Linked DNA regions of Rhinolophus ferrumequinum. The protein of the gene in region 4 interacts with the protein of the main gene of each other region in a pairwise test. Links are inferred from orthologs where the notes say so. Each region holds a gene or a part of one and is shown on either strand. Other genes may lie near its edges. The genes, in order: TXLNA, PLEKHN1, CNNM3 and CBY2.

The links.
Region 1: the proteins of CBY2 (region 4) and TXLNA interact in binary tests that used the Homo sapiens proteins (3 or more experiments, as listed by UniProt). The two-hybrid records come from large-scale screens. The link is inferred for Rhinolophus ferrumequinum from reciprocal best matches to the Homo sapiens genes CBY2 and TXLNA.
Region 2: the proteins of CBY2 (region 4) and PLEKHN1 interact in binary tests that used the Homo sapiens proteins (3 or more experiments, as listed by UniProt). The two-hybrid records come from large-scale screens. The link is inferred for Rhinolophus ferrumequinum from reciprocal best matches to the Homo sapiens genes CBY2 and PLEKHN1.
Region 3: the proteins of CBY2 (region 4) and CNNM3 interact in binary tests that used the Homo sapiens proteins (3 or more experiments, as listed by UniProt). The two-hybrid records come from large-scale screens. The link is inferred for Rhinolophus ferrumequinum from reciprocal best matches to the Homo sapiens genes CBY2 and CNNM3.

What each region holds. Positions count from the first base shown.
Region 1 is NC_046292.1:22,082,337-22,089,875, reverse strand, and holds the start of TXLNA (alpha-taxilin), read right to left. Parts: upstream 3,007-7,539; 5' UTR 2,989-3,006; intron 2,762-2,988; exon of another isoform or gene 2,466-2,761; 5' UTR 2,434-2,465; coding exon 2,256-2,433; intron 1,659-2,255; coding exon 1,296-1,658; intron 1-1,295. UniProt on the Homo sapiens protein: May be involved in intracellular vesicle traffic and potentially in calcium-dependent exocytosis in neuroendocrine cells.
Region 2 is NC_046292.1:191,512-198,562, forward strand, and holds the start of PLEKHN1 (pleckstrin homology domain-containing family N member 1), read left to right. Parts: upstream 1-4,041; 5' UTR 4,042-4,098; coding exon 4,099-4,181; intron 4,182-4,281; coding exon 4,282-4,381; intron 4,382-7,051. Other genes in the region: KLHL17 (kelch-like protein 17), read left to right, coding at 112-325, 600-744, 827-994, 1,378-1,466, 1,562-1,635, 1,822-2,003, 2,260-2,488. UniProt on the Homo sapiens protein: Controls the stability of the leptin mRNA harboring an AU-rich element (ARE) in its 3' UTR, in cooperation with the RNA stabilizer ELAVL1.
Region 3 is NW_022680356.1:2,261,703-2,268,972, forward strand, and holds the start of CNNM3 (metal transporter CNNM3), read left to right. Parts: upstream 1-4,267; 5' UTR 4,268-4,282; coding exon 4,283-5,606; intron 5,607-7,270. UniProt on the Homo sapiens protein: Probable metal transporter.
Region 4 is NC_046287.1:5,395,271-5,402,603, reverse strand, and holds the start of CBY2 (protein chibby homolog 2), read left to right. Parts: upstream 1-4,318; coding exon 4,319-4,393; intron 4,394-4,698; coding exon 4,699-4,779; intron 4,780-7,333.

The DNA.
Region 1 (7,539 bases), on a different chromosome or scaffold from region 4:
CCTTGAGGCAGCCCTCCCCTATCACACTTTATATTTCTGTCTGTTGAACTGGCTGCCTTCCCTGCTAATCTGTGTGCTTCATGAGGGCTGGGACCAACTCAGTTCTGCCTATTATTGTGGCCCAGTACTTGCTCTGGTGCCCAGCACGGAGGACACGCTCAACAAATACTTATTAAATAAATGGTTGAATCTCTGTGGAATCTCCTTGGTGAGCACCAGGAGTGGGAGAAACAAAAAACGCAAAACTGCCTGCTCTTCCAACAGGTGAGAAAAAGGTGGCCACCTGTGAATTCAGTGTTACTGTTTCAATGCAAAGAGGGCCCTTCTGATAGAGGAAGGATGCAAAAAGGAAAAGGTTTCCTTGAGGACTACTAAACTCTCACCAACAGAGGTAGCAAAACAGTGAACTTTAAAATGAATGTACCTCCCGATATTTGATCCTAAGATTAAAAACAAACAAAATAACCTTGTTTAAGTTAGGATGACAGTTAGGGGATACGGGAGTAGGGGCTAAGGGTATAATACCACCGGACTTTGATTTTTTAACACACACTAGCCGCCCCCATTCCCACCTTCAGCCAAGACTCTCCTGCACTGCCTGTGCCTGAGTCAGAATCTTCCTTGCCTCCCTAGAGAGCCACCGTACATAGCACAGCACCAGGCTTCTGAAGTGGCAGCCCTAGGAGGCTCCAAGAGACCAATGTGGAGACTGCAAATCACTAGCACACAGGCCAAATCCAACCCACAGATGGGTTTTGTTTGATTCCTAGCATATTAGTTGCGTGTAATTCTAGATTTCTAGCTTAAAAAAAAGGGGGCTGGGACTCTGGCTAGAATTAGGCTGTAGTTTTACATGCTATCAACTTGCTGGGACCAGGTGACAGTCAACCCTTTGGATGAAGGAGGCACTCTCTTCGTCCTCACGAGGCCCCTGACTAACTTGGCTTGTTTGTGTTTTCAACCCTGGTCTAGCCCAATTCTCTACTGTGACAACAAAGGACTGGAGAGGAGAAAGGCCTTGCCCAACACAACAGGTTAGAAACCGTGCAGGCTGGCTGGCTGGCACAGGAGTCCACCCAGCAGATTGAATTTCGGTTCCCACTTGCTCCCAAGGCCAGAAGCCCTTGTGCAGTGAACCACCTGCACACCTCTATGCTATGGCCCTACAGCCCTGGCACTGATTAAGCCCTGGGAAGTAGTTTCCTCTGCATCCTAGCAGAGTAGGCTAGCCCAGGGAATCTCGGGTCCAAACTCCCTCCCCTCAACAGCATCACGAGTAGCTTCCCTCTGCTCACCCAGACCCTTGGCTTTCTTCTTTTCTTGTGGCCTTCGGTGGTCTCGGTCTCCAACCTCATCACTTGCCCGGATCTCGTCTGTGCCTGGCTCTCCCTTGCAGGTCTCCTTCTCACCATTGACTACTGGGGTCTCTGGCTCAGGCTCCCCATTCCTCGAGGCATAGGTGCGGGACTTGTCTGCATCTTCGGGTTCAGCAGGCTCACCCTGTGCCCCATTCTCACCTGGGCCCCCCTGATTGTTGTCCACACAGTATGTACTCAGGATGTCCTCCAACTGGCGGCTCAGCTCCTCAGAGACATCACGGAGGGCCCCAGACGGAGAGGTTTTGGCTTGTACTCCTAAAGCAGCAGAGGATGAAGGGGCTGAGTGAGAAATAAGATGGTTACACCACTGGTTGCGTTTTTCAGGCCCAAACTTACTGGTTTGGGTGAAATGTTGCCTAACTTCTTTAAGCCGCAGTTTATTTACCTATAAAATGATATGACTACTTCTCACTACCACCCAACCATGTCTGTTACGAGTATAAAAGAAACCAAGTAAAACATTCAGCACATGCAGATGGCATGTAGCAGGAGCTCAATGTCTAGGTCATCTTCTCTTCCCCGAAAAAGTCACTTCTTGCTACTAAAAACCTTCCAGAAATGCCTCAAGTATAGAAAGCAGTTACCCACTGGTGAATGAGGTGTTTCTAATCTGGATGTGCTGGCTGGGTGTTTCATCTGCTTGCCACCCGATTTAATCCTGTCAGAGCCGCCTCGAAAGAGTTCTGTGTCTGCGCTTAAGAGTGGAAGGCTCTCCCAACTCCCCAGGACACTGGGGATCCCAGAGACTCAGCACTGTGGTCCCCTCATTCCACTTCCTTCTTTCTGAGTCAACAGTGGCCTCTAACTCCAGCAGCTACACTGGCCGCACCACAAACTCCTCTCCCTCCCCGCTGGAAACCGAGAGCTGGCACACACCCTCCGTCTTCCCTGGAGTCTGGCTGGTGGCACCTTCAGTTTCTGTTGCACAGGCTGCCTGGCTGGGCAGCCCCGGGGCTCCCTCTGGTCCGGCTTCCGCTTGCCCTGGGTTGCTTTTTGGGTTGGAAGTGCTGCCTGCTGGCTTGGCAGCCCCGTTCTTTTTGTCTTGATTCTTCATTGTGGCTCGCAATGCTAGGTGAGGAGCAGATCCTATAAAACAAGACACTTGCTATTTTCCAGACTTCAAAATTCTTCTCAGCCTGGATCAGAAATCCCAACACCGGGTGCACAAAGCTTCCTATAAACAAACTGGCTGGCGTTCACCAGAGGGAGTCAACGGTTCTCCCTGTCTCTGGCCAGTCAGGGGAGCCTGGGGTGCCCTGGCAGGTTTTTGAGGAGCTGCTCCAGGGGAGGCCTCCTTTTTCTTGAAGCCTCTTCCCGGCACAACGCGTCCACCTCACCACAGGCGGAGCGCGGGATAGGCTCCCCGCCGCAGACTGACGTGGCGGGACGCTCGATTCCGGTTCCCTCCTCTGCGCCCTAGGCCCCACGTGGGCACCCCCCTCCTCCCGGCTCCGCGCGCGCACAGCCACCCACACCCCGCGCGCTCTCCGGCCGCGCGCGAACCGCCCGCCGGCGCATGCGCACAGGCCTTAGCTGTTCCCCGGCCCTCGCCCTCGCGCGGAGTCTGTGTGATTCCCCTCACTGGCCGAAAGCGCCCAGGTCTACAGACCCGCTGATCGCCTGGTCCCGCTAGGCGCCGCGGTACCCACCCCAACGCCGTCCGCACAGCTTCGCCCGCTCTGGCCTCACACCGGAAACCCTGGGTAACCGCTGCCGGCAGAGCTGCCTGCTCGCCGCAGCCAATCAATAGCCGGCACTCTCGCGAGGCTTGCTGGGAAAGATATAGCGAAGGGGCCCCTGAGGCGGGTGAGTTGGGAAAGCGGGGGAGGGAAAGGACTACAAGTCCCTTTATGCAGCAGGGCTGACTCCAACTCCCAAGATGCAATATAAAGGGCTTTAGTCCTAGGAGCCGGATACTCAGGTTCGAAAGGAGCCAGTCATTCTGTATACGTACCCACGTCAATCTCCTTTCTGTCGCGCAGAAGCTATGATTCAGCTCCGAAAGGTTTACTCCTGGCTGTTGTTTCTTGCACGCCTCCAACCCTTCCCGCCAGAATTCTGGGCTGGGAACCTGGAGACCTGTATTGCAGTCCTAACTTCATCACTGATTTGCGGGACATTCTTTTCTCTCCCAGAACCTCGATTTCCACGTTCAAATAGAAGCTTTTAATAACAACAGCAGTTCTTTGAACGCTTAAGGTGTGCTTTCCCGGTATCTACATTTTTTTTAAACTTTTAAAATTTATTTTAAGTGTGTTTTTCCAGGACCCATCAGCTCCAAGTCAAGTAGTTCTTTCAGTCTAGTTGTGGAGGGCGCAGGTTAGTGGCCCATGTGGGGATCGAACCTGAAACCTTGTCATTAAGAGCATTGCGCTCTAACAAACTGAGCTAACTGGCCACTGCTGTATCTACTATCTTGATCCTAAGTACTCATCAAGGTAAGTACTATGTCTTATTTCCATTTTACAGCTGCTAACAGTGGTTAGAGCAGGAAGTCTGGCACCAGCACCCATCTTAACTACTGGACCTACCCGGCCTCTTACCCAGAAGAAATAACCATCATGACACACTTTCTCTGAGGATAAGTCAAGGCAACTTGTTAAAGTGGGTTGTATTTTTTTCCCCTCTTCATTACCAGCATGAGCCCCTCTTGGGCAGGGGCTGAGGGGGCCCTGCAAGGGCAAGTTTAGCCTTAGCAGATTCCTGAGCCCTTTTTATCACTGGCCTACTCTCTACAGAGTCTCTGTTGCACTGGAGCTAAAGGGGAAACAAGCCAAATTTTTCAAATGCGAGATCCCAATTCTTTATCGAATTGCCTATAGATAATGGAATAAAAACCAACAACCCATGTGCTTGGGATTTAATGCCTACATAGTTTGGCTTGTTTCCAGACAATCCTGCCCATTCCCTCTGCCTGTTTTTTGCTCTAGAAATACTTTCACTATTGCCTGCATTTCCCAGGATTTTGCAGGTGCTATTCCAGCTTCCAAAATGCCCTTATGGCAAAAACAAAATCTTTTGAGGCCCAGCTCAAAGGTCTCTTTAGAGCCTGCCCTATGCTCTGCAGCCTGTCCTAGCTCCTTATTACTGGTTAGAGTTCTATTACAGCATTAGTAAAGTGTTGAAATTATTTGCTTACAAATCAATGAACCTCTGACTGTTGGCTAAATTCTCTCATCCTAAAGCCTAGGGTTTTGGGGGTGAGGGAAGAGAATGTTTTAATTGTGCAAACTCAGCATTGTTTTAGGGCTCTTAAGATGTTAAGTATTTTTCCCAATTAGAGATACCAGAGTAGTGCTCTTCCCCCTTTCCTTAGGCAGCACAAATTCACCTTTTACCAGGTAACATTGAGAGGCAATTTGGTATAATGGTGAAACTCAAGGCCAGAAAAGTTTGGAATCCAAGTCTCACGAAACCAAGGCCTGATTTATTTCCAGAAAAGCATGTTGGAAATCTGTTGAGGTAACATACAAATCAAGCCTTGATGGATTTCCATAGGAAGGTGTTCTAGGCAGAGATAAAGAACGTAATAAGCAAGAACAAGGTACGCTTGGAGGGGTAGTGTAACAAGAAGGATCAACAGTGGCCCTACAGGGGCCAGCTGGGTAAAGAGTGGAGCAGGCAGGCAAGCAGTAACAATTTGATAAACATGGGTTAAAAAGTCAATTTCTACTTTTGCTATAAAATAGCAACAGTATTAGCACCTGCCAGTCAACTAGTCAGGGACACCATTGGGAATGGTGGTGATGATGGTAAAACAGACCTCTTACAGATTGTTTTCAAGCAGAAACTCAAGCCCAGTAGTGCCAGATATTTTTCAGGATATATCTTTATTTCTTAAAATGTTGGCAGTGAATTAATACTTAAAACACACTGTCTGCCAACCAAAATCCTCCTTTTATGTTGAGTCAGCTTTTTGGCTGCTTGTCTGTAATCTCTGCTTTAGGAATTGACCTAAACCAAAGTGAGTAGTCTGTGAGCTGTATGACCTTCAAGGGCTCAAAGGGCTGTGGAGTGGTGATGAAATGATGTCAAATCCTTTAGAAAAAACTCTAGAAAATACAAACTAAACAGAACTCAGATCAGTAGTTGCTGGGGGTTGGGTGAGGAGGAGAAATTCCTAAGGGGCATGCAGAAACTTCTAGATGGATATGTTCACTATCTTAATTGTGATGATTTCATGGGTATATGTCAAAACTTACCAAACTGCACATTTTAAATATGTGCCATTTACTGTATGTCATTGTATTTCAATAAAGGTGATTTTTAAAGATGTCTTTATAGCAGGAGCAGGCTGTTGCAATTCCTCATTCCACTGTTAGGCCCCAAGTTTAAACACTTTCTTTGTTCACTTCCGAAAAGTCCAGTCTAGGATCATTCCAGAGACGACGCTTTAGAACTTTGCAACAGGTTTTTATTTTTGCTTTATATCTATTACAGTGTTTGAAACCTAAAGAAATAACATTTTCTCTTCAAATTTGGATGTGTATATAAATATCATTTGTCTGGACTCAGCACACTCAATGCCTCGGTTTCTTGGCCTATGTCTGCTCTGAAATCAAGCTTTGTCTGTCTACCCAGGGGCCCTGAGAACTTGGAAAATAGTCAGAGTTTATAGTTCTTGGAAAACTAAGAGCAAATGAACTGCAAAGAAAAACCAGTGAGGAAAATTGGTTTGATTCACCTTCCTAAGATCGGTAGCTGGAAACCCAAGCTATTTTTGAGGGACATCTGGTTTGTATTGGGTGGCTGGGACCTCCTATCCCCTTTGCTTTAGTGGTTCAGTCAAAGGCAATTCCCCCAAAAGTGGGCTAAAAGAGCCCATACCCAACTACAAGGCTTGAGGGTTCTCAGAGAGGTGGACTCTTTAAGGCCATTCTGAGTCAGAGGTTCCCAGCCAGTCTCCGGATATGACCTTTGACTTCCTTCACTGCCCCCAGGGCATGGCAGGATTTGCTTTTCCCAAACCCAGGGGCTGAAAATCTGACCTACACGTGGGAGCAGGGCTAGCATTTAGCTGAGGGGTTCAGGTATGTGCTAATATGGACATCAGTCAGGCTGGCCCAGAAGTAGCGAGGTAGGCCCAAACTCACTGAAGACCTTTATAACACACTACACAAACCTTTGTCTTGGGGTGTTCTGGGCCCCAAATTTAATGCTGCCTCTTCTCTCATACCTAGTTTTGGTTCTGTAAATAGCCCAGGCATGATGCAAAATGCCCTCTGAGGAAAAGTAACAGCTTTAATTCACAGACTTGGTTGGTACTGACCTCAAATTCTTCCCGTGCTATGGTCTTAATCTGGAGGTGGGGTTGGGGGGTAGACAACCGGATGACTGAATCATTTATAAAGGCCTTGGCCAAAGAGCAGCTAGTTCTCAGCTTGTTGGCTTAACAAAAGAATCCAAAAGTTAAGACACAGAAAAAATACTGAACAAGATTGGTCTAGAATCCTAAAACGGCTGTGGAAGAAACCTAACTCTGAGCGATTTCTCAGTCTCACACTCACTTCTAGGATAGTCCTACCTGGAAGATGTTGCCATTGCTTATGAGCATTTCCTATGGTTCAGTGCACTGAGCCTTGCACCCTTTCCCAGACTGCCAGGGAGGCAGACAGTAACACACATTCCTGAGGCCCCCAGCCAGCCTGCTTTCCCTCCGGGTCCCTGTAGTGCCTATAGGGACCTGGAGAATCCAGAATCTGAGCCTACAAGATGAATCTACAGAGGAACACCCAAGATGATGGATACCAAGTTGAGTCTTGAGGAGAAGAGATGTGGCCTGAACATACGAGCTGAGGCATTCAAAGGGGGTTATATGGAATGAGGGAAGTATTGCTAGGCATTTATGCCCTTCCCTTACTAGTTTGCTAGAAACAGGAGTAACTCTAGGATACAGGGGGGGAAGCAGGTAGACACAAGAAAATGGAAATCCATTTCATTCTGTAGACGGTTTTCATTTTAAGCTGGTTTGGCTTGAAAGAAATAAAGTCTGTGCCTGAGCGCCTTCTTTTGCTCTCCCTGACTAAGTATAATAGGAGCTACAATCTGTGCAGTTCAGCTCCAAAAATTGGGCTCCTGGAAAGTGGCTTCCAGCGCAAAGAGAGTAGAAGGAGTAGATCTAAAGGTCCTAGCTAAGGGGGACCATCAAGGGTCCCTGAAA
Region 2 (7,051 bases), on a different chromosome or scaffold from region 4:
TCCACAAGGGCCCAGCATACAGGTGGACCGTTGTCTGAGGGGGTCTCAGTGCTCGGGCCAGGTGTACCCACAGGTCCGACCTGTTGCCTGACTGGCGCCCCTGCACCCCAGCTGATGAAGTGTGTCCGTCTGCCCCTGCTGAGCCGGGACTTCCTGCTGGGCCACGTGGACGCCGAGAGCCTGGTGAGGCACCACCCTGACTGCAAGGACCTGCTCATCGAAGCGCTCAAGTTCCACCTGCTACCGGAGCAGAGAGGTGTCTTGGGCAGTAGCCGCACGAGGCCCCGGCACTGCGAGGGAGCAGGCCCTGTGCTCTTCGCCGTTGGTGCGCCCATCCCACCGGCCCCCCACGCCTCTGCCCTGCGACTTCTGCCCATGAGCCCAGCGCCAGCCAGCCCCACCCCACGCTGATCACATCCTGCACCCTCCCCACACCTGCTCCTCCATCCCACTGGGAAGACCCTGTGTGGTGTGACCCACTCACAAATACCCATCCCTACCCCCAGAGCCCCAAACCCTTGACCTTGAACTGTGCCGGAGCCCGCAGCCTGTGGCCTTCCTGGGCCCCTCCTCATGCCCCATCACATCCTCCACCCTAGGTGGTGGGAGCCTGTTCGCCATCCATGGGGACTGTGAAGCCTACGACACACGTACTGACCGCTGGCATGTGGTGGCCTCCATGTCCACACGCAGAGCCCGGGTGGGCGTGGCAGCGGTTGGGAACCGGCTGTATGCTGTGGGCGGGTAAGCGTGGAGGCTGCTCTCTCGTGGGGCTCGGTGTATGCCCACCGGGCCAGCCATGACTAACATTGGACCCCTCCCCTAGTTACGATGGGACGTCAGATCTGGCCACTGTAGAGTCCTACGACCCTGTGACCAACGTCTGGCAGCCCGAGGTGTCCATGGGCACGAGGCGCAGCTGTCTGGGTGTGGCTGCCCTGCACGGGCTCCTGTACGCAGCCGGTGGCTACGATGGGGCCTCCTGCCTCAACAGGTAGTGGCCTTTCGCGGTGGGCTTGGTAGCAGCTGTGGCTGCATCAGGACGACAGAGGTCATACCTCGAGGGGAGCAAAGAGAGATCCCGCCTGAGTTACCAGGGTCCCATAGGCCTCCTCATTTGTGCCAGCCCACCTGCCCCTTCCTTTCCTCTCTGGGGTCTTTCCCACAAGTCCAGAGGCTGCACCCAGGTGGACACTTACCCAGGATCACCCACGCAGCTGGGGGCCCGTGTGCACCCCTCAGGCCTGCCTCCTGCTCCAGTGGGACTCTGGGGTCAGTCTCAGTGACATCCCAGCACGGGATTTGAGTCACTCCCCAGGGGAAGGCAAGTCCTCATCTGCCACTGCTCGAGGTCAGCGGTGGTCCTGGTGTCCGCAGTGCCGAGCGCTATGACCCCCTGACGGGAACATGGACGTCTATCGCCGCCATGAGCACCCGGAGGCGATATGTTCGTGTGGCCATGCTTGGTGGGTGATAACTTACTTGGTGTAGTACCCACCCCTACCTGCCCCCCCAGAGACCCCACACAGCAGGTACAACATGGGCATGTTGAACCCTGCAGATGGGAACCTGTATGCCGTGGGCGGTTACGACAGCTCATCTCACCTGGCCACAGTGGAGAAGTATGAGCCCCAGGTGCGAAATGCCCCAATCCCATGAATCCCCCTCCCCAAGGGCTGCCTGAGGTCATCACTCTGGCCACCCACCTCCCCTTTAGGTCCCACCCCTGTCCCACAGACACCGCCCTGGAGCAGGGGTCTGCACAGGAAGTGGAGGGGGGCTGGTGATGGGTCTGCCCCCAGCAGGTCCCCTCAACCACAGGTGAACACGTGGACGCCAGTGGCCTCCATGCTCAGCCGGCGCAGCTCAGCTGGTGTGGCGGTGCTGGAGGGGGCTCTCTACGTGGCCGGTGGCAATGATGGCACCAGCTGCCTCAACTCTGTGGAAAGATACAGCCCCAAGGCTGGTGCCTGGGAGAGTGTGGCTCCCATGAACATCCGAAGGTGCGCTGTCCCCCAGCACACAGACTGGGAGTGTCCCCCGTCACTACCACAGTGGGTTTGCCCCCCTCAGAGACTGACAAATGTGTCCCATGGCCTCACCCCTGCATAGTGTGTCCCCCACCCATGCTCTCCTTCTGGCCTGTGCGCCTCCCTAGAGGTTCCAGGCGGCCCCACCCCCGGGGCGGCTCCTATGGCCCCCGGGTACCACCCCCGGGGCTCCACCCCATGGGCTTATGCCCGCCTGCCCCGCCCCCAGGAGCACCCATGACCTGGTGGCTATGGACGGCTGGCTGTATGCTGTGGGAGGCAACGACGGCAGCTCCAGCCTCAATTCCATCGAAAAGTACAACCCGAGGACCAACAAGTGGGTGGCTGCATCCTGCATGTTCACACGGCGCAGCAGTGTGGGGGTGGCGGTGCTCGAGCTGCTGAACTTCCCGCCACCCTCCTCGCCCACACTGTCCGTGTCTTCCACCAGCCTCTGACCCCGGCGCGGACTGCACAGAGGCCGGACCTTGCGGCCTCCCACATGCCTTAAGCCCCGCAGAGGGCCCCAGCGCCTCCCTCCCCTCGACCAGTGTGTCAGGGGTGGGTTCCTCGGCCCCCCGCCAGGGATGTCCTGCACCGTCTGTCCACGTCTCTGTGTGTTGAGGCCGCCCATTTCTGTTCATTCCTCAGTGCTCATTTATGTGTGTACCGTTTATTTACTCGTTTATTTATTCAGTATTTATTGATCGATGAGCAGCGCTGCAGCTACCAGTTCGTACGTTTACTCTGGAAGTGTCCTGTGTGGCTGGGACCAAGCTGCCCTCCTAGTGTTCTCCCGCCACACTCGGGGCACTGGTGAGTGATGGGGTGGACACTCTCATTGCCTGTGGGGCAGGGCCAACTTGGACTCTGCAGACCTGGAGGGACCAAAGGGCAGATGCAGAGCGGCCTGTTGGGGTGGGGGGGCTTCTGAGCAGGTGCAGACCCCCAGCTTTCGCTTTGCACACCACCCTTGCCTCACCAGGCCAGGCACACTCCCAAAGAGGGCACGAAGGGGGCTTCCTGCCTGTGAGTGTGGTGTCTTTTCTGGGTCCTGCACTGAGCTGGGACACATGCGTGCCACAGACTCCTCACAGCAATATGAACCAACTTGAACAATAAACACATCTCTTGGACTCTGGGCTTGTGTCTGAGGTCCATCTCCACCTTCTGGGGTCCTATCTGGGGTGACTGGGAGGGTCTGGGGGCAAGTGTACAGCTGGGCTCAGGCACTGCATTGGCATCTGGGGGCTTTGAGACAGCACCGTCTCATCCAGTCGGGACAGGCTGTCATGTCCTGGAGGAGTGCCTGATCATGAGCATGGCTGCTGCCAGCGTGGTCCTGAGGGGCCCCCATGGCCTGTCTCACCCCAGGCTCTTACGAGAGGGACACGGGTGGCATTCCCCCTACTTCGCCGTGACTGTCCTAGATGCACCTGGGATGGCTGTGGTCTCCTTCCTGGATTCTGGTTAAGCCTCGAGGACCCTGACCTTGGCCCGGGGTGAGGGTTGGGCCAAGGTAGGAGAGGAGGCTGGGGAAGGGTCCTGGCTTCCCCTTCCCCAGTGTTGCAAACTCCTGCTGCAGCTCTGACAGCAAACACATGCCCCCTTACAGTCACTGGTGAATCAGAGACTGGCATTTAGGCGGAAACAGGATGTGTGCTTTTGTGGGGGGGTTGTGGGAGGGGGTCCCTGGGCTCACAGAGCTCTACCCCAGGCACCCCAGCTTACGCGCAGGTGGGCAGGTCACGCACTCACAGACCAGGCTTTTGGGGCCCCTCCCGAACGTACTGGTGGCTGAGGTGGGCGCTCTTGGCTCCGCCAGTGGGGAAGCCCCCAACCCCGCCCCAGCTGGCCTGCTTGTGGGGAGGACCCAGGGCAGGCAACTGAAAGGCGTGGGCTCAGGTAGGGCCGGTCCCTCCCAGAAAGGCTCCACCTTCCCCCGGCCCTTGGGCACCGGGTAAGACGTTGCAAAGCCCCGCCCCCGGGAGGTGGCGACAGGAGGCTCGGGACAGAGGGACCCAGACTTGCCGACCTGCTCAGCTAGGGTCGGCACGGATCGCGGCCCATGGGGAACAACCACTGCGTCCCTCAGGCCCCTAAGAGGCTCCGGGCGTCCTTCTCCAGAAAGCTCTCGCTGAGGGGAAATAGGTGAGGGGGCGGCGCGGGGGCGGACTCGACGCTGGGTCACAGGGTTGCCCTCAACCGGCGTCGGGAACCAGGCTGTGAGCCCCCCTTCCCTCCTCCCCAGAGAGGATGGCACAAGGAAGCTGGCTGGCCTGTTCGGCACGGAGGCCAGTCCTGACGGGGACACCACCGCCGCCAAGATCTTCCACTACATCCCGGGGTCGGTGAGTGGCGGGTGGGCGTGTCCCAGGGTGAGTGCGGGCCGCGCAGGGGCGCGGCGGCGGTGGTCTCAGGGTCTCCCAGGTCAGCCTGGGAATCAAATCTAAAACAAGGTGAGGAAGTAGACGGAGCCCCACCCTCGGGAGCTCATCTGGCCGAAAGTCTGGCGGAGAGCGAAACTGAGACCCGACTGAGTCAGTGGGTGAGCTAGCACCAGGAGGGGCGGGCGCGGGCGGGGACTCCGGAGTCTCTGCTGCCCCAGGGGCACTGTGGCCAGGACCCAAGCCTGCCCCTGGACTGGACAGCATGTCCAGGCACATTCGGTTGGACCAAGCGCAGGTATCTGAGCTGTTGCCGTGTGTGCAGGGATGTCATGCTGGTGCTACGGCTATGAAACCCCTCCACCCCCTCTTTACTCTGACTAAGGGGCTTCAGGTGAGCCGTGAGCCAGCGTGTCACCTACTCCAGGCCTCAGTTTCTCCCAGGGGGTGTGTCCCGGCACACACCACTGCCTCCTCCCATAGCAACACCCTGTATCCCCCTGGCCAAGGCCCCATAGCAAGGACTGCCTGCCAAGCACATATTGGGGCACCTCTGAGCTGAAAACATCCCCTCCCTCTACCCAGCTCCTGTGGGGTTGAGTTAGTGAGGGGGAGAGACATAGCCCTTTTCCCCAGCCCTTGTCCCCAGGGCTGACATTGGGTCGAAGAGAGGCGCTGGTACACACTGAGGCCCCTGGATGTGACGAAAATGACCCCCCAGGTTCTTACTTCAGGAGCATCTGGGAGAGGACAGGGAACGACGGACATGTGTGACTATGCCAGGAACGTGGGCCAGGGCTCCACCTGCAGTCCTCACACCGTCCCTTACAGGCCTGGCAGCTGGTGTGGGGAGCCCACCTTTCCAACTGGTCCCGTCAGGCTAGGAAGTCCTGGGCCCAGCCTCTCCCTGCCCTCTGAAGTCCCAGCGCTCCCTGTGGCAAGTGCTGGCTTCGGAAACCATGCTGCCTCAGAGGAATGGACAAGCCACTTGTGTCCAGGGCCTGGCTGGGCAGGGATGGGGGTCCCTCCAAGTGGCCACATCTCAGACCTCAGCTCCCTCTGTTCAGGCCCAGGACGTATCCCATGACCCTGGTGGAATCCTGTGAGTTGTGTGGTCCTCTCTTGCCAGGACATGGTGGCTGGAGAGGGGACCAGGAATGTTGAACCTCAGGAGGTGGGGCCCTGGAGAAGCCAGTTCTCCTTGGGTTCTGCACCCACACAGAGCCGGCCCTGCCACAGCTCTGAGCCGACTCCTCCCTGGGCCCTAAGGCTGAGCCTGGGCCACAGGACCAGCTGCATGGCCCTTCCTGCTTCGTGGCCTATTTTTCATGGGTCCCATCCCAGCATCATTCTCTGCACTGGGCGTGGGTGCAGGAAGCTCCACCCAGAGGCGGGGGGCCGGGAAACTGTGTGTCTGTGCACATTCCTGGGCTTATTTAAAGGGCGGCTCAGCTTGGCCTGGCACAGCAGCCCATCAGGCAGCCCCTGCCAGCTCCCAAAGGAGACATGGCCCCTTCCTCAACTCACCCCTGAGCCCCTGGACAGACCTCAGCCCCTCCAGCACCAGGTAACGCCCATCCCAGTGTGACCCCCAACCTGATGATCAAGCTCCCATTTGTAGAGGACTCTCTGTGTGCCAGGACTGGCTGAGTGTTTGCGGGCACCGATGCTCCCTCCCTGCAGCAGACAGGCAGTGAACCCCCATCACATCCCAGGCCTGTCCTGGCCCTGGGACACAGCAGTGGGGGAAATGGACAAAGACCCTGTTCTTACGGTGTCCCCATCCCTGTGACAGAGCCAGATGACAAGACAAATAATTAAAAGATATAATAAGTAAGATGTGGCTAGCACTAAGAAGAAAAGTAGGGAAGGTGTGCAGAGGGGTCAGGGGAGATTGGCACGTGAGAAGGGTACCCAGACGGGACCTCATGGAGGAGGCGATGTTTGAGCCAAGCCCTGAAGGAGGTGCAAAGAGCAAGGCTGAGTGGTACAGGCAGAGGGAAGAGCAAGTGCAAAGGCCCTGAGACAGGCGTGTGTCTGCTGAGAGGGGAGAGGACCAGGGGAGGGGGCAGATCACAGAGGACCCGTTGGGCCACTGCCAGGACATTGGCCTTCCCTACTTGAGAGTAGGGCAGGCAATGTGTGCTGAAGTGGCCAGCCCAAGCTCCCAAGAGCTGATCCGATGCCTCTCTCCCCAGCTCCACACTTGCTCACGTCACGTTGGTTCCTTGAAATGGGCCATGGCAGGAGGATGTACACCATCCAAATTGGCAAATGCTATAAATTAATCTCCCCATTTTTTAGAATCAAATATTAAACATTTACTAGCTGATAGTGGACGTACAGGAGGGTTTTGAGCCTCGTCTTACTCAGACATCCAAAACCCCTGTGACCAACAAATCTTGGGAGGTTGAGTAACCAAAACAAGGGCACACAGCTTAGGAAACAGTGAAGATAAGGGTCGAATCTCCGTTAAGTGCAAACATCATCGTCTTCTCTGACAGACCATGCAATTCTGTGACTCTCAGTGAGGTCACGTGCACGCCCGTGTGTTCTGCCGCTATTTCCATGTGAGGAGGCTGTGTGTGCAGGCTTCTGTCCTTACGTGTGACAGTGTGTGTGTCCCTGACCTAT
Region 3 (7,270 bases), on a different chromosome or scaffold from region 4:
AAAAGGGGTGGGGTTTCTCACCCCAGGAAGCAATAGCCATAATGTGCTCCCAGCCACGACCTTTTGGCTATGTCCCCGACTCAGGGAGCCCACTCGTCCTCCCTCATCCTCCAGAGACGGGGTCCCAGAGGCCCGCTGGAGGAAGGCTTTCTCTTGGGAGGACAGTTCTTTCCAGGAAGCAAAGAACCAAATAGTACTGAGAACAACTGGGACACGTGCATGGAGGCTGGTCTTGACGTCACTGAGACCGAGGGGTCTGGGCAGCTGTGACCAGGGACAGATGCTCCCAGCGGCAGAAGAGTGTGCGTGCTCCTGTCACTCGCTAGATCAAGGAATTTCCAAGAACTGCTGATGGGCCCTCCTGGTGAGTTGGGGCCAGTGAGACTCTCACCCCTGTCCCCATTGGTTCGCCTCATATCTGCCCCTTTGGACAAGTCTCCCCTTGTAATGGGGCTGACCCAAAATGTTAGGCAGGGTCTCCCACCTTTCAGATTGCTCGCCCCTGCTCCCTAGGCTGCTCTCACTTTTACCAAAGGTTTTCCCCTGGGTGGGGACAGCATCTCCATTTGAGGTGACTTGGCTGCGATACTCCTTTCAGTTCTAGGAGGGAATCTGGTCGTGCATTGTTAGCAAGTGATACCATACCCTCCCCAGCCCACAACCAAAGTCTAGTCTCAGACAGTGACCCAGGAACCCTGCTTTCCAGACTCCCTACTTCTAATCCCAAACCCCAAGGCCTCTTGGGGGCTGAGGACTGAGGACATGTAGGAAGCCAGCGTCAGCAGGTTCTGCATGCCCTGTCCCCTGGTCAGGCTTACCTGCCTGTTCACACACGTCCAGAACCCAGGAAAGATTCCCACCTCGAAGGCATACTACTGGCAGCCCTGTGTCCCCCATGTCGTAACCCTACAATGAGGCTTCATCCTGGCCTGTGCCGAAGCTGGTGGTACTGGACCCCCAGAGCTCCACGCCCACAGGAACTCTGGCCCCAGCGCCTTTCCCTGGGGCCGAGTCAGGCCCTGCCACACAGCTAGCTCTAGGCTCCCCATCCCTGGGAGGCTGTGGGACCAAGGACCGTGTTGGCCCTTCTGTTGGGTGGCACAGTTGCTGGGGCCCAAGATCAGGTGAGGGGGGCTCTGCAGGCCTCGGGCCTGAGTATTGTCTGTTCACTCCTTCCTCAGCCAAGTGCTCTGCGCTTCAGGTGCCTGGAGAACCCTAAGTCTTGGGACCAGGAAATGTCTTTCACCAAGTATGCCTGCCCCTGGCCAGTCACAGAATTTATTCCTAAAGGTCTGGAGAGAAGGTGATGACACCCATGGGTTCTCAGACACCAGACCTGTTTCCTGTTGGGGGGACCCCTTAGTTTTCTACAGGAGCAGCTTGCTTCCCGAGTGCACACGGGAGCTTGCAAAGTGGTGTTCCTGAGACCTGAGTGCCAGGCGGGGCCAAGTGCATTGGCCTGAACCGAGTGTGTGAAGTGCAAGGAGCGGGCACACACACTTCCACAGCTACCTCTCTGCACACACAATTCCTATCAACAGCGCGCCCTCCGCCCTTGCCCTGCCCTTCCCTTCCCCATTTATAATCTCTTCTTGCAGAGGGTTGTAATGACTTCCAGATATTATTGGTCCATGACTTCTTCCTCCCAGTGCAATTTTTCACTTCCTATTCCAACCTCTGGTTCCTGGGCTGAGCCCTACCTTGGAATGGGCCCGTCCCTGCACGTCTGCCCGTGTGAGGGAGAACCGTGCAGATGGCCTCCTAAGGGGTAGGCAAGTCACAGCCACCATAGCAAATGACTCTTATTTATTTTGCGTAAGATTTTAATTTGTATATTTTTGTGATTTATTTTGGCATTGTTATGAGTTTGACTCTCGGGGAGTTTTGTTGTTCGACTCTTGTGTCTTTTGTCACAAAATGATAATATTTGCTAAACAATATATGGAATTTATTTTTTGATTGGTAATAAAAAAATGAAACATGAAATCTTGGTGAGTCTATGGTTTACCTATTTGAGTTCCATCAACATTTGGTACCTCTCATAGAGCTAGAAGTGGCTGTCACCTGTGTCAGGACAAGTGGCAAGTATTCCATAGGAGCTGTTTAGCAGTAAACAAAGAGGCAGAAATGTAATTTACAGCACATACATAACCAAGGCTGTTGCCACAGGAGCTGTTGGACATGCATGATAAAGGTGCTCAGCGGCCACAATTGGGAATCCCGTCATGAGAGGGACACCTCAGGGTCTCCTGCCTGTGGGTCCTGGATGGGCAGTTGGAATGAGCAAATCGGCCCTTCTCTCTCCCCTGGGGGCTGAAGGAGAAAGGAGCCTGATCCAAAAAACAGGATCACATTGTTTGGTAACATGCAGTTGCCTTTTCGTCCACCCATGGGCTGGCCGTGGTCTTGAAGTGGGAGAGCTCATCCCGGAAGAGCCTGCCCAAGGCTGAGTGACCTCACTGCGTCCACTACTGCAGTGCTCATAGGTACGCATGTGACTGAGTGTGTCAAGGACTCAGCGACTCAAGCCAGCTGTCTTCACAGCAGGCAAATCGGGAAGAATGTTTAAAGAGAGGCACTTACTTGGGTCGGCAGAAAGGACATTCCAGATAAAAGGAATTACATGCAAAAACTTGTGTATAGGTGGGAAGAGTAAATTTCATCCATCCACCTGTTCCACACCAGGTGCCAGCAACCCCTCAGTCTAATGAGGCAGACCTCCTAGGAAGATAAGTCACACAGGGACCCCTGGATTTGCTGTTACCTCTACCAGGAACACTCTTTCCCCAGGTCTTTGTGAGGCTCACCTCCTGCTCCTTCTAGGCCTCTATGCACATGTAACCTCCTTAGAGAAGCCTTCCTTGTCACCCTCCATAAAACAGCTCGGCCCCAATCCTAACTGCCAGATATTAAAACACGATTTGTACATTTCCTGTTGTCCCCATACTAGAACCTAAGTTCTAGGAGGGCAGGGACTTTCTTATTTCCACATAAATCCCAGCACTAGAACAGGACCTGATACACTGCAGGCACTCAATGCAGGAAATACCTGTTGAATGAATGAATGAATGAATGGGTCTATAAAATAAGCACTACATGCTACTAGGTAAGAGCACACAGCTCCCACAAACTTGACCCACTGAGTCAAGAGTCGAGGAAGACCAGCTCCAGGAAGTGACGTTTGCAGACTTGAGAGAGAAGCAGCAATCAGCCAATGAAGCCACAATAGCTATGCATTTAAAACTCAAATATTTAAATAAAACATGGAAATACCTTGAACCAAATAACCAGTAAGGCAAATGGTCTAGGGAGAGTCAACGAGGGACTTGAAGATCAAGTGGCAAGTATGTCCACTGATGCTGTGACTAACCAGGGGGCGGGCAAGAATGGCACAGGCGGGAGGAAGCAGTCGGAGGAGTCCTGTGAGGCCTCTTACTGTTAACAGGAGGGCACTCCTGAGAAGCTGCCCTGCGCTGGGTTCTTTAGGTCTTCGGGTATTGATGGTTTTCTGAGTGTGATCCAACTGCTGCAAGTGTCCGTACAAAGGTTTTCCCAACAAAGTGAGTTATAGGTCATTTCCCCAGGGAGCCTGGGACCAAGGAAGAAGTAGAACTGCAGTGACAGATCCAGGCATTCCTGAAACGAGTGGCGAGGATGGGACGGGGGTGTTAGGTCGCGTCGGACCTCAACATCCTCGTCGAGTCACACGCTTCGTTTTTCTCCTGGAAAATAATAACATGAAGTAGAGGCGAGGGTCCAAGGTTTCCTTATTTTCGCCCAAGGGCTGCGTCTCCGTCCCCGGACCTACAGCAGGGTCGGGCTCCATCAACATGCATCTTACGGAAGCTTAGCTTCCCGGGGCCCAGTCCCGGTTCTTCCTTCGGCCTTCCCCGCCTTCAGGTCGGCGGTTCCGGGGCCCTACCTCAGAAAGCCGCACGTCTCCCTCACCGAGACCTCCGCCTACTGCTGCCCGCCCCGCGTTCCAGCCAGGGATCTCCCAGAGCTGGAGTCCGGCCTGTGTAGTGGGTGGCCACACCTCACCCGGAGCCCCTAGTCCACCCCGTGGGCTGTCAGCCCCGCCCCCGGCCGGTCCCGACCCGCGCCGCTTGTTTACGCCCAGGCGCAGCCTCGCCCGCCCCCTGGGCCCGCCCCCACGCACCGCCCATTGGCGAACGGGGCACGAGGCCGGCGCTGATTGGTCGGAGGAGGCGCGAGTCTGGCGCCGATTGGCCGGAGGAGGGGGGAGGTAGGCTGCGCAGAGGCCGAGAGGGGGCAGCGGGCGATGGCGGCGGCGGCGGGGCGGCTGGGCTGGCTGCTGGCTGCGCTCTGCCTGGGCCACGCCGCCGGGGAGGCGGCGCCGGGCCCGCGAGTGCTGGGCGTCTGCCTGGAGCAGGCCGGGGCCGCGGGCGCGGCGTGGGCGCGCGGAGGGGAGGTGCCGGCCGCGCCGGAGGCCACCTTCCGCCTGCGCCTCTTCGGCTCGGGCTTCGCCAACAGCTCCTGGTCCTGGGCGGCCCCCGAGGGGGCGGGTTGCCCCGAGGGCGGGCCGGCTGTGGTGCCCGGTGAGGCTACGGCCCCGACGGGCGAGTGGCGCGCGCTGTTGCGCCTGCGCGCCGAGGCTGAGCGCCCACAGTCGGCGCTGCTGGCGGTGCGCGGGGAGCCTGGCGGCACGGCTACCGGGAAGGCGGCGGCCCCCGCAGGCGAATGGCGCGCGCTGCTGCGCCTGCGCGCCGAGGCCGTGCGCGCGGAGCTGAGCAGCGAGACGGCGGAGGAGGCGGCGCCGCCCTGGGTTCTGGGCCTGGGGGCGGCGGGGCTGCTGGCGCTGGCGGCGCTGGCACGGGGCCTGCAGCTGAGCGCGCTGGCGCTGGCGCCGGCCGAGGTACAGGTGCTGCGCGAAAGCGGCTCGGAGGCGGAGCGCGCGGCGGCGCGGCGCCTGGAGCCGGCGCGGCGCTGGGCGGGCTGCGCCCTGGGCGCGCTGCTGCTGTTGGCCAGCGTGGCTCAGGCGGCGCTGGCGGTGCTGCTCTACCGCGCGGCCGGCCAGCGCGCCGTGCCCGCGGTGCTGGGCAGCGCGGGGCTCGCGTTCCTGGTGGCCGAAGTGCTGCCGGCCGCCGTAAGCGGGCGCTGGACGCTGGCTCTGGCTCCGCGCGCGCTGGCGCTCAGCCGCCTGGCGGTGCTACTCACCCTGCCGGTGGCCTTGCCGGTCGGGCAGCTGCTGGAACTGGCGGCGCGGCCCGGGCGGCTGCGCGAGCGCGTGCTGGAGCTGGCGCGAGGTGGTGGCGACCCCTACAGCGACCTCAGCAAGGGCGTGCTACGGTGCCGGACGGTGGAAGACGTGCTCACGCCGCTTGAGGATTGCTTCATGCTGGACGCCCGCGCCGTGCTGGACTTCGGCGTCCTGGCCAGCATCATGCAGAGCGGCCACACGCGCATACCCGTTTACGAAGAGGAGCGCTCCAACATCGTGGACATGCTCTACCTGAAGGACTTGGCCTTTGTGGACCCCGACGACTGCACGCCGCTCAGCACCATCACCCGCTTCTACAACCACCCGGTGCACTTCGTCTTCAACGACACCAAGCTGGACGCCGTCCTGGAGGAGTTCAAGCGAGGTAACGTCTGGGAATCGCGGAGGGGACTCGAAAGCTTGTGCCCCGCACCCCCTATAAAAGGGGTCGGGGATTATGGAAGCCTCTGGAGAGCAGTGAGACCTGCAAGTCCCGTTTTAAAGACGATGACGGCCTTGCAGCTCTGAATGACCTTTTGAAATATTGAAAAGTTGTCCTTGAGAGAGGGACACAGTGCTAAAGACAGCAAAATCCCCCTTTACCTGGTAGGCCCCCAATCTGGGGAGGTATGTCCACTAGGCTCTAACCCCCAGCTCTTTCCCGCTCCGGGTCATTTTTGTGGGTTTTGTAGCAGGTCGAAGCTCTTGGATAGAAACTAAAAGAAGGTAGAAAAGAGTGTAGTCCCCAGGTCCCTGGAAACTTACGTGCCCACACATACAAGTGCACCTCAGAAGTGGTGAGGGTTCGGTTCCAGAGCGCAACAAAAAAGCGAGTCCTAATCTGTTTGCTGGTGGAGGGTCTTGCCTTTAATTTCTAGAAAACGCAACACCTGTGAAGTACAGTAAAATGAGGGGTGCCTGTGATGTTTTCAGGTCGTCATTGTTAAGGTTGCTGATGGGCTGCTGCTTCCTGACTGCAGAAAAGAGTGATTCAAAAATACCTTTCTGGGGGTGTGGAACAAACTGCCACTTGGATTTGAATTTAACCAAAAGCAACTTCATGGGCGCTAATTCAGTCTTCCCTTCAGCTGTCTTTTTTTTTTTTTTTTTTAACTTCCCCCTTTTCTAACCCTGAGTAAGGTCTCTCACATTCTCCCTTAACTCCACATTTGCATTCTCACCTTTGACCTTGGTTTATCCCAGCAACTCTAGGGTTGCACCCTCCAAATGTGAAGGTGTGGTTTCCTGTGCAGTCTTCTCATGGCCCGGTGTGGCTGTGCTCCCAGAGCTCCTTGACCGCCAGCCATCTGTGCTTCTCAAATCCGAACTCCTGCAGGATGAGCACAGGGGACACCCCAGGATTCTGGGTGGCCTTGAGGCTGGAGGATGCATAATGTGAGACCAGGAAGCCAGCAAAGCCCTTGAGCTTCCTGGCACCTAGGAGGTGTCCTGGCTCCAGGCCCCCCCTGGGAGGTGTTCTGTGAGTCCCTGACAGTTGGGGAGTCTGGGCCTTGTGACCTTGTGAGTCCTGCATTAGCGCTGTGTAAAGCAGACACTAGTGGGCGCTCACGTGCATCATCTCCTCTCTCCTAGAGGCTTGCCTAAGGAAGATTGTCACCTGGCTACAGTACTTGAACTCCTATGCCTCTGATTACCTGGGAGGCTGCTTTGGGGGCAGCTCTGACCGCTCTGCTAGAGAATCTGTTGGCTGCACCCCGCTGCCTCCCCAGAAAGTGGCCATGCAGCCCCTCTTTGGGGCGGGGAGCACTGGGTGGGGGCCTGACAGAGCCTCTTAGTGGTAAATACTCCCTGTGGGCCACTGTAGTGTTCTGGGCAGTGGTGTCCTGGGGGCCAGCAGTGCTGGGCCTGGAGTCAGCGAGGAAGGGTTCTTTCATCCCGCTGCCTCCCCGCTCGAGACCCTGGGAAGGCAGGACTTGACACCAGGATGACACCTGTGAGCAGAGCACAGTGGCGCCTGAGGGTGTTTCATGATCACTGACTGGTGTGGAGACCAGTGATTCAGGGGTGCAGAGGAGAGAGGCTGGCAGG
Region 4 (7,333 bases):
ATTTCACATGCATAACGTTATAATTCGATATCTGTGTACTCTATTGTGTGCTCATCACCTGAAGTCTAGTTTTTATCTGTCTCCAAATATTTGATCCCCTTGACCCAATTCACCCTCCCCCATCCCCCTTAGCCTCTGGTAACCACCATTCTGTTGTCTGTATCTACTTGTTTGTTTTCATTTGGTTTGTTACTTTTGTGTTTTTATATTCCACACATCAGTGAAATCATAGTCTTTATAGAGCCTTACTCTTGGATCGAGTAAACAAATGAACTGATTTTAGGAAAATGTCAGAACTATGGTGGTGGGATTTCTAGTGGCTCCTGATTGAGGAGGGAAATTTGTAAGGATGTTTCTAGAGGCCCCCAAGTTTCGATGTTGCTTTTGGGGACCTATCTTGCACCTGGTCTCCTTTCTGACTTCACCAAGAAGCGTTTACCACCCTGGTTATCTCAGGAATCTGAAAGTGCCAACTGCCCTACTTTCTGCACCATCCCCCTCTGTTGGTTCCTTCAACATCCCCACAAATATGGGTGATTCTTCTAGCGTAACAACCATTCACTTCAACAGTGCCCCTGGTAGCTGCTCTTCTATTTACTTTCTTCCTGCTCAGACTTTTCCAGCAGTTGATCTTATTTTTTGCTGGATGGACTCAGCGGCAGCCTCTCTTGCTCTTTCTGGCTGCTGCCTTATGCTTCCTCAGGAGGTGACCCCTGGCCTGTCCCGAAGGCAGCTTGGCTCACAGCCTGGCTGTCCTTGGGTTGGTACTCTGGTTCCAGCATAAAGCTACCCTCTGCCCTAAGCAGCAAAAATAACAAATGTTCCCAAACACATCATATAATTTGCAGATGACAAACATTGTGATAATTTACTACATCCACACAACTTCCCATCCTTTCACCAGTGAGAAGGAGAGAAAGGTCAGAACATACCCCACCATGCCCACGTCTGACTCCTGGACCAAGAGCTGCAGTTCCTGTGACTCCCTGGGGCAGGGCAGGAGGCCCCGTGCTCTCTGATGGGCCCTCCCGCTTGTTGAATGTTTCCCTGTGATTCATCACCAGACAGTTGCAGGTGAGGAAAGCCTGGGGAGTCTGAGATGCATGCTTGCCCTTTCCTTCATCTCTGCTCTACCTGTCTGTTTAGATGAGAAACCCACCAGGCGTGTCCACCTCCGAGCTCTGTGTAGTGCCCTCCAATTGTGGATGCTCACGAAACATGGATGATTGATGATGGCGTTACTCTGAATAATAGCAGACATTTGGGGTGCACTCTCAAGGAAGCTTTTCAGTACCGAGTAATGGATGCGTGTATCCTGTAGAGGAGGAAGGGACCCAGCTAGTGGGAAGATGCCAGTTCCAGGATGGCCCAGCTCAAAGCGCTCCTCCCTTAAAAACAAAAAGCGGATGAATCACACAGCAGGCACACAGACGAGCCCTCCCACCAGCTGTGACATCAAGCCTTTTTAATAGGGCACCAGTGTGTGTGAGTCCGCTGCTTGAGACTGCAAGGCAAAGGGAGCAAGGCAATTTTGTACGAGGGCGCCAACGCAATGATTATTTACTGAGAGCTTGCTAAGTCGTCTCGAATTAGATTTAATTTCTTCATTTTGGAGACGAGGAAACAGCTTCTGAGAGGTGGGGTGACTTGCCCAAGTCACATCGCGTTAAGGACTGAATGCATATGTTGGAGCCCTCGTCCCCAATGTGATGGCATTTGGAGGTTTGGCCTTTGGGAGACAATCATGTTTAGATGAAGGCTTCTGGATGGGATTAGTGTCCTTAGAAAAGACGAACAGAGACCCGAACTCACACTCTCTCTCCACCATGTGAGGACACAGTGAGAAGGTGGCCATCTGCAAGCCAGGAAGTGGGTCTCATCAGGAAACAAGTCTTCTGGCCCTTTGACCTTGGATGTCCAGCCTCCAGAATGGTAAGAAATAAATGTCTTGTGGAAGCCCTCCAGTCTCTGGTAGTTTGTCATAGCATTCGTTTTGTGGTCCTTTGTTTGGGCAGCTCTAGTTCAGCTACCTCCTTCGCGGTTGAGTCTTCCTAGCTCAGCCTCACAGGTGGATGTGCAGGTGTTTCCATGAGATCTGTGTATAAGGGAAAATTGAATTGTGTTTTCAGACAGTACGAGAGTTAACCGCTTAAAGAAACCCGTGGAGAAACAGGAAATGCCAAGTGTTGACAGGATGAGGAAAACTTGGAACCCTTGTGTGTTGCTGGTGGGAACGTTAAACGATGGTGCACTGGCTGTGGAAAACGGTATGGAGGTCCTCAAAAAGTTAAAAATAAAACTACATATGATCCAGCAATCCCTCTTCTGGGTATTTATCCCAAAGAATTCAAAGCAGGTTCTCGAAGAGATATTTACATACCCGTGTTCATGGCAGGATCATTCACAGTAGCCAACAGGTGGAAACACCCCCAAATGTTCATTAGTGGATGAACGGATAAATAAAACGTGGTATATAAATACAAGGGAATACTGTACAGCTTTAAAAAAGGATGCTGTGTCACATGCTCCAATATGGAGTATCTTGTGGCTATGATGCGAAGCCATTAAGCCCGTCACAAAAGGACAAATACTGTATGATTCTACTCAGGAGTCTCTAAAGTAGTCAGAATCATAGAAATCGGAAATAGAAAGGTGGTTGCCAAGGGCTGGGGGAGGTGGGGAGGGGACTTAAGTGTTTAATGGACATAGAAGTTCGGTTTTGCCGGATGAAAAGGTTCTGGAAACCTGTTGCACAGCTTTGTGAAAGTCCTTAAAACTACTGAACTGTATACTTAAAAATGATTAAGATGGTCATTTTTCATGTTATGTGTTTCAACCACAATTAAAAAATAAAATTAAAAAAGGAAACCCTTGGAGAAGTTCCCATTTACAATGAAGAATTCTTTGATAATGTGATTGATCACTTTCTTGGTCTTTTCCACATGTATAGCTTTGAATTACTGTGTATTGGATTTTCTTAAAGCGACACTCGCTTGTATGTGGGCTGTGGGAGAGCCGTTGGGCGCTTAGGTGTCCCTGGGTCTCAGACGCTGGCCTACCACCCTCCCCGGTGTGTGGCATAATAACGTGGCACGGGAGCTCTCTGTCTAAAGAGGCTGAAGACACATGAGAGGGCTCCCACTAACAGCCTCTAGAGGCAAGTGACTGGACAGAATTGAGGCAGGGGGCTGCGCTGCCCCCTTCGCAAAGCCCGGATGTTAGCACTGTGGTCTTGATGCAGTTTCTACATGAGGTAAAATAAGAATATATATTTGGCCTTTGTTTGTAGTTCCTGACACGGAGCTCCTAAAACCTTTACCACTTCCTGAGTGATAGATGTATCTTTTATTATTCACACGGAGCCCCTCTGGAGCACACCTGAGTTTATGCCAACGAGGTGATTCTTGGTGGGGCCCCCTTGGCAGCTTTAGGATGTGGGCTGGTTGCCAGAGGAATCAACTACGTGCTTAGAGGGTTGGAACTTTCAGTCTGCACCCCTGCACGTCTGCGCTGGAAATGTTCAATCACCAAAGACCACTGATTTAATCAAGCACAACCATGTAATGAAAACTACATTAAAAAGCCCTGAACAATGGTTTGGAGAGCTTCTGGGTTGGTGGGAGGATGGCGTGCCAAGAAGATATGGAAGCTCTGTGTTCTCCCACCCCATCCAATATCTTGCCCTAAGCATCTCTTCCACTTGGCTGTTCCTTTATAATAAAACTGCAGGTGTAAGTAAAGTGTTTTTTGAGTTCTGTGAGCTATTCTATCAAGTTATCAAACCCGAGGAGGGCGTTATGAGAACCCCTGATACAGCCAGGTAGAAGTACCAGTGGCCCAGGACTTGTGACAGGCATCTGAAGCGGGGCCGGTCTTGTGGGACTGAGCCGTTCACATATGGGACCCAACACCAACTCCAGGGCGATTGTGTTAAGGTTGAGCTGAATTGCAAGATGTCCAACTGGTGTCAAAGAATTGGAGAATTGGTTGTGTCAAAAAACGTCTCACACTGAATTTCTTCTCTTGGTCTGGAGTGAGTTCAGTTTGCATTTTTTCCTTCTTAAGTGATCCAACTCCAAGGAGAAGATGCCATCTCTGGAGAGAAGATAGGGATCTCAGCCCAGCCTGGCAGAGGAGATGTGAATAGCAGTCAAGATGACCAAACAGGAAGCTAGTGTTAGGGCTACTGTGTGTCACACTGACCTGGACCAGCCATGTCACACCAAGGTAAGCTCTTCCTGACCATCAGAGGCCTCATTCCCGCCTGAGATGCTCAGAGAGAGACCATGAGCCCTGAACACTGCCATATTGTTTTGTGATGTCACCTCTGGAATGTTCTGAGTGTTTTGGTGACCAACTTCTGCACAGGACCTATACCTGGCACCTAACGTTGGTATGACTTTTTGCTTGAGACAGAAATAAGAATCTTAGAAAAGGTAATAATAGGTGTAAGTATGTCTGCTCCAAAGGCTTTCGGAAGGCTCTGAAACCGGTTATAATACCTGTCTTAACTTATGTTCAGACATCGCTACAGCCTCTTGTCAGACACGATCTTCCCGTTCTTTGAGACTCCGATTTTCATGATGTACATAATTGACGAGGGGATAAGTGAGTCGGAAGTCCTCTGTTTTTCAGATGAGCAGTTGTGGCCCGGAGGAAGGGCTGGGGAGCAGATGTCTTATTTTCTTTTTTCCACAGCTCTCAAGGCCACATTGTAGAAGAAAAAGAGATACCAGATCTGAAAGCCTAGAAATTCCAATCAATGTGGTTCTACCTCAGGTAGGGATAATCACAGAAGAATGTAATCTACTCGTTTTAGCCACAATAACCCTCTTCTTTCAAAACTCGAGCAAAAGATGTTGTTGAACGAGCAGAGTCCTCAGGACCTCAATTCTAGTTGTGGGGCAGCTGCCAACCAGCTCTGTGCCTGGCAGAGGACACTTAGCCACTCTGGGCCTTGGGTCCCTCATCCCTCGAATGAGGAGAGTGAGTTAGGTGGTCTGGTAAGACCATCCAGCCCTAACACATGAAGTTTCTATGACACTCTGAAATACGCCAATCATCTCGAAATTAGATCTTCTGGTAGTTGTGCAATCACGCTGGATTTCTAGAGGAGAATTACAACTGGCCTTGGAATCAAATGCATATGACTGAATCCATGAGGAGAAAACCTAATACAGACCAAGGAGTACAGACAGGGCCATTTGGAGGTGTCAGAGAATTAAGGCCAGCTGTATACCAAATATACAGAGCGTAAGGGGGTGGGCACGAGGGATTCAGAACGGAGGCCAATGAATGGATGCAGTGTTGACAGGTGGAGATTCTCAGGTCTCCCCCACTGAGCCCTGGTGGGGTTCTCCTGATTGCATTGTTTCTACCGCTGCTATGTCACAAAGGGGGCAGCCTTGCTTCTCCAGAGTCACCTAAGGCCCAGTTGGAAGACCATGGCACTGCAACCAAAAAGGGTGAAATGTAGAGTGGAGGAGTCCAGTGCAGAGGTAACTATGTGAAAGCTCTGTCCGGGGACGTGTAGGGACAGGATTGATCACCTAAAGCTCTCTCTTTCTTAAGGATTTTCAGAAGGACACGATTAGAAAGAAAACCTCCAGCATTCTTTCTATAGGTGGAGGTAATTGTAACAATCTAGGCAACTGTGTTCAGCAGGAGGAAAAAATATAGGACACAGAGCATTCTGGCTATTTGTTTTCGCATATCCTTATGACGCTGTAATGAACAGACACTTCTCTGTTTCAGCTCCTAAAGCTTAGAACATACGCTCACTTTCTCCTGACCATCAGGATGGCTTGCCCGCAGGGTTTCTGCCGCTGTAGGAGCCCTGGCTGAGGTCCGATTCTTTCCACATAAAACACGTCTGTAATTCCATTGTCCACTACTCTCCCTATGGTTGGGTCGTTCTCAGCCCAGAGAAGTCAATCTTTGCTTTGCTAAGGGACTGGGAGAGGGTGTCAACCCGAGGATGGGTTGGGGTGGGGATGGGAAGAGGGTATGAAGCAATGGTCACGTGATGGAGGGATCTGGAAGTCTTCCATCTACACCTAGTGCAGCTCCCTGCCTCCTCCCAGAAACAGCCCCTGCAGGAGAGCAAGGAGCAGAACTGGGGAGTGGTTTAAGGAGCTTCGAGCGTGTTCTGGGGCCTGTACTGCAGGTCCTGGTGCAGCTGCTGGGGTCTAGGAGGGCACGGGATGAGAGGATACCTGCTGCCTAGGCACGTGTGCCCCACGTGGGCAGATGTGGCCTCACGGGTGCATCTGCCACCGGGACACAAGTCATGCAGCAGGTTTCAGACACCAGCCAGGATGCTTTGGGCAGGGGCGCTGGGGGAGTGGTGTGGGTGTCTATAAGTTTAGATTATGAGAACAGCGTCACGACCAGGGCTTGGGGGAAAGGACTGATGTGGTTGATGAGGGAAGCAGGACTATTGGTTGAACACTGCTTTCATCATGTGTCGGGCCATGCAAGTGCGAGGTGGACACTGTAAGTACGGGAACTGGGAACCCGGGAACCCCACTGGTAATGGCAGAGCTGGAGTTGGGGGCTTGAACCCAGGCCAACACCCACTCTCTCTGTTATATCGGAAGATGGGCATATGCCACGTGGCCGGGCCAGGTCAGGTCTTAGTCCTCTGCTTCTCTTGCTTTTAGGAGATAGCCCTTCCTCTCCCTGCATCTTAACTGCGTGCCCGGAGCTCCCTGCATGTGTCTGCCACATACTGCTTTACTCTGGGACGAGTCCCTCTGTTTCAGAAGGGAATTGCCTCAGCAGCTCTGTGACTTCAGAAAGTGCCGCTGGCCTCCTAGCTCCCAATCCGGCCAGGCATTGGGGCTTCTCAATTACATTGCGAATGCCTGTGACTCACTGTTCCTTATCTCCCTTAGGTCTTTCCAGGTCTTATTGATTTCCAGTTTTTCTTCCTCACATTAAATATTTGTGTTTTCTGATCTATTTCCCTCCAGCGCATTCACTTGCAAGCCATCGATGTTATTTCCTGTCCCAGCTAGCTGCCCTCTTGGTTCCTTTTGTACACAATGATTGAGTTCTCACAGGCATTTGCATTTCCCTCCCTGGTGAGCACTGTGTGTGCATTGCAGGTGTTGTTTAAGGCTAGATCACTAATGAAGGGTCACACCAGATCAGAATGAGCTCTGGAGGCCCCCTCCAGGCTCCCTCATGCCCCCAGTTGCCTTTCCTCAATCCCCTTTGTTTGGGCTTGTTCTTCAGAAGCTATGGAACCGGCTGACAACACCCATATCTCTGCAAATTTGAATGACCTGTTAGGAGGAAGATTTCATGAAATTCTGTGTTAAACAATTAG